Linked DNA regions of Arabidopsis thaliana. The protein of the gene in region 1 interacts with the protein of each later gene in a pairwise test. Each region holds a gene or a part of one and is shown on either strand. Other genes may lie near its edges. The genes, in order: RABA1d and AT5G55950.

Region 1 (4,509 bases):
TAAGCCAAAGACCTAGTTTTGCTTACCAATCAAATGATGTGATGATAACACCAACCCAAATAGGTAAAAACCCTCGAGTCAAAATCTGAAGAGCGATCGCGCTTCCGATGACTTCTTGAATATCAGCTCCGATCAAAGCAACCTCCGCCATGAACCAAAGCAAGATTCGCGCCCACGAAGGATACTCACTTCGACAAATCTCCGCTAAATGTCGACCCGTGGCGACACCGATACGAGCAGAGAGAAGCTGCATCAGAAGTCCCATTAGCGTCGCCCATAGAAGAAGCCATAGGAGAGAGTAACCAGCCACAGCTCCGGCTTGTAAATCTCCTTCGATATTTCCTGGATCTAGAAACGCGATGCTCATGAGAAATCCAGGTCCGGTGAATTTCCATAGCTTTGCCCATGAGAATGGCGGAACTGAATCGTAGGTTTTGTCTCTGTCTTCTTCTACGTTCAGGATCTGATTCTCCGGTGGCGATTCGTGAAGCTCGTCCTCCTCTGGCTGAGAGGTTTCGGGAACTAATAGACGTTTGAATTCGCCGTTACTGTCGTTTGGTCTCTTAGGGCTGTTTTCTTGGCGGGAAACGGTGGATCCCGTCATCTTAGTAACGGAATATTCTTTCGGCGTTACTGACGACGTGATTTGTTTTAAGAAAATTTTAAAAGATTACATGGATTATTTTGATAAAATTAAAATTAAAGTCAAGAATAGTCAAATGAGAAAACAAAAGCAAATTCTAAAAATGAACTGTTATTAAAAGTTTCTATTATTAGAAACTGAATTGTGATCTCTATTTTTTTGACGAAAATTTTCTAAATTGGTATAACAAAAATTAGTTGTGTTCAAGGATTAGCACAATAAATATTGGTTTAGAGATATTTGCGGATTGAATTAAAAACAAACCATAGACCAGAACCGGTTAAATTACAAAATCCCTTAACCGGTACAGAATCAGACCAAAGCTAAGCAATTTTCAAACAAGCAAATCAAAAGGCATAACATAGTTTGTTTTCCTAAAAAAAAGCAAACATCTTCAAAAACAAAATTTGAATGTAAAATTTAAAAACCGATTTCAGCTTTAGGACATAAGACCATTTAGTTGGAGCAGCAACCAGTTTTCTTCACTGCGGAAACATCAACATCGATCTTCTCTCCTTTCGAAGGAACATTACCGGAATCTTCACCAGCCTCCATTGCTTTCTTGCTCACAACATGGTAAATCTGAGTGAGTACTTCAGAAAACGCGTTCTCAACATTGGTAGATTCAAGAGCTGAGGTTTCCATGAAGTAGAGTGATTCATTCTCTGCAAAAGATTTTGCATCTTCGGTTTGGACTGCTACAAGATGGCGAAGATCGGATTTGTTTCCCACAAGCATCACAACTATGTTTGGGTCAGTGTGGTCACGGAGTTCCCTTAGCCATCTCTCAACGTTTTCGAATGTTGAGTGTCGGGTTACGTCGTAAACAAGAAGCGCCCCAACAGCTCCTCGATAGTAAGCACTAGTGATTGCTCGGTATCTAAAAATAGCGAAAAGAGGAGAAACAAAAACCCGTTAACGACTTAGTCATTGAAACTCTGTTAAATTAGAAAGATAGGAACATAATAAGAACCGAAATGACAAGAAAGACTTCAAAGCAATAAGCTCTTCAGCTTCAATGGTAGAAAACGATCATTAAAGAAATCGATATCGTCATCAGAATTAACGAACATATAGAAACACCATGAACATATACGATACCGAAGATTATCATCAACCACTGGTTGATCAAACTAATCAGCAAAACAACAGAATTTCTACAAAGCTGGTAACTTTAAGCATAATTGTTGAGTTCTCTCATTATACACAAATACAATGTACACTTCACCTCCAGTAATTATATACACGATCACAGGTTAGGTTGATTTCTCAAGCTTTCTCTACGATAAACTGATTCCATTAACTAAGACAGATCTAATGAAATTGTATTGACTCCACAATGCATCAGAAGGCCAATACCTAAAACACAGATCGAGAAATGAACAAATGAAGACAAAATCAAAGAGACGGAGCTTAAACCTTTCTTGACCAGCAGTGTCCCAAATCTGGGCTTTGATGACTTTTTCATTAACATTCAAGCTACGAGTCGCGAACTCGACCCCGATCGTTGATTTAGACTCGAGACTAAACTCGTTCCTGGTGAATCGAGAAAGCAAATTGGACTTTCCAACACCTGAATCACCGATCAGAACCACCTTGAATAGGTAATCGTAATCATCATCTGCTCTGTAACCCGCCATTAACACTTCTCACTGAATCAAAAAAGCTTCACACTTTCAACGAATAAAGAAACGAAAATTGCTCTATGATCCCAGAAAATTGAACAAAACTTCGATTTTGCTTTTTTACTTTCTTCTTTATTCTCTTTAGATTCAAATATTTATTCCTCAGATTTCTACAGAAAGACACAGACTTTGAAAAAAGTTAGGGTAAGACTGGTGTCTTTCTAGCTGGACCATGATCACCGATAGATTCTGGGTGAAATATTTTGTATACATGTACTAAACTACCCCGGATTCACTCCCTAAGATCAGGGGTAGATCCGACATTTCGTTAAACTTTTGTATGTATATGTTACATGCTTTCATTTTCTTGAAAAGGTCAAAAAGTAGTGGTGGTGGTCATGTTACATTGGTAAACGGCGATATTTCAGTCACTCTCAATGATGATCTAACAAAAATGAAACATTTCTAGCTCTATCTTCTAGTTAGTGGATTCTGTATATACCCAATGGGTTTCAACACACACTAAAATGGAAGCCCATATGGGCTAATCACATAGTAGTTGTGTGTATTGTCTAAATTCTTTGAGGTTAGCAAAAACTCACATATCTGCTGCCATGTGAAAAGAGTTCAATGATTTGTGTATTATGTAATATGTAATCCAAAAACGCATCTGTACATTAAGAAAAGAAACAAAAAAAAGAGTGAAAAAGGAACATAGACAAATGTTCTGTGCTCCTCTCCACTCATCCTCCATTATTAGCCAAAAAATCCATTATTTTGTCATTACCATAAAAGTCTCCATCAACCCTTTTCCTCATGAAACCCTCCTATCAAAATTTAGATTCTTTACTTTTTCTTTTCTTTAAAAAATGTCTGAAACTCCACCTACATCTTCATCTTCTTCCTCTGTTTTAACTCAGAATGTTACAAAACCAGTTTCAGACAAACTTCTTCAGAAGTACATTGACGTGTCTGAGTTTCAGTTTGATTACCAGACAAGCGGTATCTGGTCTCCACCGTTTCAACGGACTGCTTTTCTTACACCACAAGGCAAAATTCTCACAGACAGAGAAATGGCAGAGAAATTTCAGAATCTTGTTGAAGAACCTCCACGGATCAAAAGGTACAATCTTTATTGTTGTCGTCAATAAGCTTTTGTAAATCTTATCTACAATGTACGATATATGGAGTATACAAACATGTTTCTACACGACTCTTTTGTTGTTGTTTTTACTTTTGGAAAGATTTTTAACGAAGATGAGACAACACACAGTTACAAAAGTAGATAAAACCTGGTTTAAACTGCAACAGTGCTCTGTTCTAAAGCTTCTTTACCGGTGATTCCATCTTTCAGAGTCTTGAAATACTCATTGTAGTCTTTCTCCGGTGGAGGATTCTCAGGATCTACCGTGAAAGGCTCGCTAAACGGAACCGTACTTTTAACCTGAAACAAACAAACAACACACAAAACAGCCCAATTCAGAAATTTAACTTTTTGAATAGCAACCCGGAAAAATCGAAAAATTGATGATTCTTTAAAAACCTCGAAGGTCTTGTTAAGAGCATACGGGCTTTCTAAAGCAGCGATGCATATACGCGCTACTTCGTCTCTTGATACCTTCCCCTATATAAAGGTAAAGTTGGTTAGGTTAGTTAACTTAAAGAGTTGTTGGATTTCAAGGAGAAGCGAAATTGAAAATACCGTAATGTTGTCTCCTTGTTCGAAAATGAGATCAGCTCCGGCAGGCTCTTCTGTTAAAGCACATGGCCGTACAATTGCAAATGGAATCCCGCTGTCGCGTATCAGATCCTCTCCCTAGTCATTCAAAAGTAAGAGCTTTAAAATCTTTTGAAAATGACTTTTCCAATTTTCTGCGAAGCAGAGAGTATAGAGAGACAAACCTTTAACTTGTAAGTGAGAATGAAATCAAGCTCTTTGTTTAATCTCACGGCCGGAGGTTGTTTGCTTAGATCCAAACCGGGTCTCTCTGGTCGAGTAACTCCCGCAGAGCCAACGTGAACAAACCTGTAACGATAAGTAACGAAATGCTAGTTCAGCATTTAGTGAAGAGTTTGGTTTCTAAAAAGCAAGAAACTAGATCAGACCTTGGAGTGACGGGGTCTTGGATATAAGCTCGAATGCTAGATAAAGGAAGCTCGAAAGGTCCTTCTTTGAATGTAGGGTTAAGCTTACCATCATACTCAAATTTGCTAAACATAAGCTGAAAAATAGCCAACTTA
Region 2 (4,746 bases), on another chromosome or scaffold:
TATTACCGTACCAGAACGTTGACCCAAGTTTTCTATCAGGAAATTTGTTAGGAAATGACAAATTAGTGCTTGATATCATGCATGAATCATGATCAAAAGTTGGCCCCATGTTTTTAAAAACATGGGCTAAAATTTTGGGAAAAAATTAACGAAAAAAAGATTGATGAAATAATTCTGTCAAGTACATAATAAATTCATAATACGAGAATTACGTGAATAACCTAAATTTTGTATCAACATTATTAAAAAAAATAGTGTAGAGTTTCATAAATTAATAAAATAATTTAAATTCAAACTCTAATTAAATCTAACCTCTAGACTTTAAAATCTTAACTATAAATCCGTAATGCATGGAAACATTAATTCTTCTGTAAAACAATAAACAAAACAAAATGGTCAATTGTTTAGAAAGTTCAGTATTTTAGTTAGATGAAAAAGATTTACAATAATAATTGTGTGATTTATTGAGTAATGATCGGGTTTATTCACCAGCCATCAGGCGGCTGATCGGGCCAGTTAACTAACATAAGGTCTGAATAAAAATGGGCCGAATCAATAAGGCTCGTCAATCTCAGTCTTGTGCTACATGTATTTTCACTTCTTCCACTTCCAAGTTCAAACAAATTTCGCCAAAATGGGATTACCTTTATGAACCAAAAGACGACCAGGGGACCTGACTTTATCGGTGTTAATGTTTCAATCATACTAAAATCGACAGAAATTAAAGTAGTGGATCCACAAATCTTACATTTTTATTAGAATAAGAAGTTTACTTATACAAAGAGATGATGACGTGGCCATGCAAGCTTTTTGTTTTATTACGTAGGCCCTCGGCTCCAAAAGTTTGTTGAGACTTCGAAATCTTGGAATTAAAGCTTCTCGTTTTCGAGGTCAAGCGTACATGTTAAGTCATTTTTATTCGTAAAGTGATAATAAGCTTTTTAAGTATCATCAACTTTCATCACTTATACATAAAATTCATTTAATTTACTCTTTATACGTATGACACTTAACCAAAGCTTTTGCTATTTAATCATTTGGCTAACTAACACTTCTTTCTTTCTTTCTTTTGGTAGGTTGCGGAACTAATTAACGCTACTCTTTCAAAGTTAATTTTTTTTACTGATAGTGTTATGTTTCCACAACAGTATGTTGCGTGAGGTGACGTCTATATGCTTATGACTATAAGCTAGCAGCTTAAACTATGTACAAAAATGTACAATGTCATTATTGTGATCACAAAATTGGTAGTTAGTTAATGTCATATATATATATATATATATATGTGTGTGTTTTAATTTTGTTAGGTACAGAGGCACTCTTGTAAATAAAAACTACCACTAAAATCTGAATGTTTTGTGCATTAAAAAAGAAAGAAAGATAAAACCTCGTACCGATCTGAATAATTTTTTATCAATGAAGTCACAATTTTGTACGTTGATGAAGTCAACACGTGGCAAATTACAAACTCGACAATTTCCTCAAGAGAAACAAAAAAAATCCCTGAAAAATTCCTCAAAATTTTCTTAATTTTCGAGATAAATTGATTTAAAATAAAATAAAACAGAAAGATACGCAATGAAACTGCGTTTTCAAGCAAACTGCTAAATTTCTATCTTTTTTTCTCTCTCTCTCTCTCTCTATAAGGGCTCTGCTTCTTGTACAACAGCCGAAACAATTATACCATGACATTAAAATCCAGATTTTTTTCAGTCATTTTCGTATTATTTGTTTAAAAGTAAAGTTTTTCTTCCATCAAAATGGAAAATGTGATCTGGTTTTTTTCTTAGAAGATATTAAAACAATCGGAGAGAGGATTGCAAATTTTTTATTTTTGTTAATTTGCTGTGTGATGGGTCTGGTTGATTCTTTGTTAGGAAAAGATGCAAGAAAATTTCTCAAAAGGAAAGATAGTGATGCTGCAGAAGCAGGTACGTCATTATTATAACAACAATTCATGAATCTGCCTCCATATTCTTCATTTGATTTGCCTCATCATAATTCAGATTTCTCATGATCAAAAATGATGCTTTATTTATTCCCACGTTGTCTCTGTTCTTCACCGTTTAAGTTAAATGGTTTTGATCGGATCTTTAATGGTTTTGATCGGACCTTTAGGCTTTTTTGATCTGTTTGTGAATTTGTAGGACGAGCTTTGGAAGAACTCAGAAGTTCTTTGTACAATGAGCTTAAAACATCAGAAGGAGCTAAAAGGCAACAACAGAGATTTTGTGGCCCTGTTGTTGCAATGTCCTTTAATTTCGTTGTTGCTGTTGGAATCATCCTTGCCAATAAATTAGTAATTTGGTTTCTTCAATCTCAAATTCTTCTTTCTCTTTTTTTTATTTACCATGTGAATGTAATTGTAAGGTTGAATTGTGCAGGTGATGGGAAGAGTTGGATTCAATTTCCCAATCTTTCTAACATTGATTCATTATACCGTGGCTTGGATTCTTTTAGCTTTCTTCAAGTCTCTCTCTTTGCTTCCAATGTCTCCTCCATCAAAGACAACACCTTTCTCATCTCTTTTCTCTCTTGGAGCTGTCATGGCCTTTGCTTCTGGACTCGCTAATACCAGTCTCAAACACAATAGGTTCATAGCTCAATCGCTAAAGTTTGAATCAAGATTCATAGCTTAAGCTTGAAAGCTTTTGTTCTTCTTTGTTTCCAGCGTTGGATTCTATCAAATGGCTAAGATCGCAGTTACACCAACGATTGTTCTTGCCGAGTTTGTTCTCTTCAAGAAAACCATTTCTTCCACAAAGGTTTCGCTTATATCTTTTATGACATGTCAACAAAACAATCAAGAATTCATTACATGTTTTTGGTGCTTACTCTGTTTTTGCAATTTGTCCTCTTACAGGTCATGGCATTAGCTGTAGTATCTCTAGGTGTGGCAATCGCGACAGTGACGGATCTAGAATTTAATTTGTTTGGTGCATTAGTTGCTGTTGCTTGGATTATTCCAAGTGCCATTAACAAAATACTCTGGTCTAATCTTCAGCAACAAGCTAATTGGACTGCCCTAGCGTAAGAAATAAGAATCTCTCTCTTTTACTTTTACTTGAGGTGTAAGCAATACAAGTCTCTTAAAATAAAGGCTTTATTGAATGTAGATTGATGTGGAAGACAACACCGTTTACTGTCTTCTTCTTGTTGGCTCTCATGCCATGGCTTGACCCACCTGGAGTTTTGCTTTTCAAATGGGATTTAACTAACTCTTCCGCAATCCTCATCTCGGCTCTTCTCGGCTTTCTTCTCCAATGGTCTGGTGCACTCGCTCTCGGGTTAGTCTTTTTGTTCTCTTGCTTTGGTTGGAAGTTCAGTCTTGAGGTTATAAAATGCTAACTAAATTTGTTGTTTCTTACAGGGCAACATCAGCAACATCTCATGTAGTATTAGGGCAATTCAAGACATGTGTGATCTTGCTTGGAGGTTACGTTATCTTCGGCTCTGACCCTGGTTTCATCAGCATCTGCGGCGCTATCGCAGCTCTTGGAGGCATGTCTGTCTACACGTGGCTCAATCTTCCGGGGAAATCCATCGATCACATGTCAAACAAGCAGCTGCCAAAGCAAAACGTCACCGTTTCAAAACCTAAAGCCGAGGCTGACGACGGAGGAGGAGAGACCGGAGTAACCGTAGTTTCTGTTGACCCACTTCTCTCCAAGACGATAACTGCAAATATCGTATAGTTTTACAATTTGATTAGATTGCCAAAGAGAAAAAAAATGAGTTTTACTTTTTCTTCTTCAGGTTTTAGTTTGTAAAATTGGTTCAGTTTTGATATCAAATTAGTGTAGTAAAGTATACTAATAAAAATATTTTGATATCATAATGTGACAAGAGGGCTTGGTGGGTTTATTTGTACGATAATGAAATAGATGGTGTAGTTTAGAAGTAATGTAAAACTTGATGTGTATTTTTTTTTTTGTCGTCACTTGATGTGTATTATGAGGTGCAATTAGTAAATATAATAAACCTTTTTGACTTTTTCTATAATTTCAAAAACTTTAATGTAGTAAAGTGAAAACTTGTGGGGAATAGGGTTTTCGGTGATAAAATCGGGCTGACCCGAACCCGGTTTAGTGCGAGATTCCACTGTCCGTCGTTAACAAAGGAGCTAAATCTCAGAACGATTTCTCGATTTGCTTTTGCGACATTATAATTTTCCTTTCAATTGACTCAGTGAGTCGCCGATCGAGTTAGAAATGGGAATGGGAAGTAACGGAGAATTGAAGTATGAGATCTCCCAGAACGCGTACATCAAACTCGTTCTTCACTCGCTGCGACACAAGACGGCGGCGGTCAACGGAGTCCTCGTCGGTAGAATCAGCCCTAAGGACGACGGAGTTGTAGAGATCTCAGATTCTGTGCCGCTCTTTCACTCTAACCTCGCTCTCCTTCCTCCTCTCGAGATCTCCCTCATCATGGTTCGTATCTCTTCTTATTCGAATCGATTTGATTTTACGAGCTTTGAAATTGAATTTTGAAAGAGATTATGATCTGATTGCATTGGTATGTATATTGAATTACGAATTCTGGAAATTTTTAGTTCGTGTACTAAGCTTGAGCTGCATATGTTATTATTAGCTTGTTCTTAGTTTTCTATATGTTTGCTTGATTCTCAGTGAAGTCTTATTGTTGTTTCTATATTAACATAGAAATTTCAGATCTTTATGTGTTTGTTCTGTAGCTTTGTTTGTACCTATATCCTTTAAAGAAAAACTTACGGATTCAGGTATA

What was found.
Region 2: the proteins of RABA1d (region 1) and AT5G55950 interact in a protein complementation assay, tested with the Arabidopsis thaliana proteins (one large-scale study listed by BioGRID).

Annotation. Positions count from the first base shown.
Region 1 is NC_003075.7:10,319,057-10,323,565, forward strand, and holds RABA1d (RAB GTPase homolog A1D), read right to left. Parts: upstream 2,518-4,509; 5' UTR 2,284-2,517; coding exon 2,063-2,283; intron 1,524-2,062; coding exon 1,100-1,523; 3' UTR 806-1,099; downstream 1-805. Other genes in the region: NRAMP5 (NRAMP metal ion transporter family protein), read right to left, coding at 27-604; AT4G18810 (NAD(P)-binding Rossmann-fold superfamily protein), read right to left, coding at 3,207-3,305, 3,572-3,712, 3,812-3,892, 3,971-4,084, 4,171-4,294, 4,375-4,490.
Region 2 is NC_003076.8:22,657,360-22,662,105, reverse strand, and holds AT5G55950 (Nucleotide/sugar transporter family protein), read left to right. Parts: upstream 1-1,600; 5' UTR 1,601-1,852; coding exon 1,853-1,931; intron 1,932-2,079; exon of another isoform or gene 2,080-2,147; coding exon 2,148-2,299; exon of another isoform or gene 2,300-2,384; coding exon 2,385-2,593; intron 2,594-2,671; coding exon 2,672-2,765; intron 2,766-2,863; coding exon 2,864-3,030; intron 3,031-3,116; coding exon 3,117-3,287; coding exon of another isoform or gene 3,288-3,348; exon of another isoform or gene 3,349-3,370; coding exon 3,371-3,695; 3' UTR 3,696-3,994; downstream 3,995-4,746. Other genes in the region: emb2731 (Uncharacterized protein family (UPF0172)), read left to right, coding at 4,212-4,433.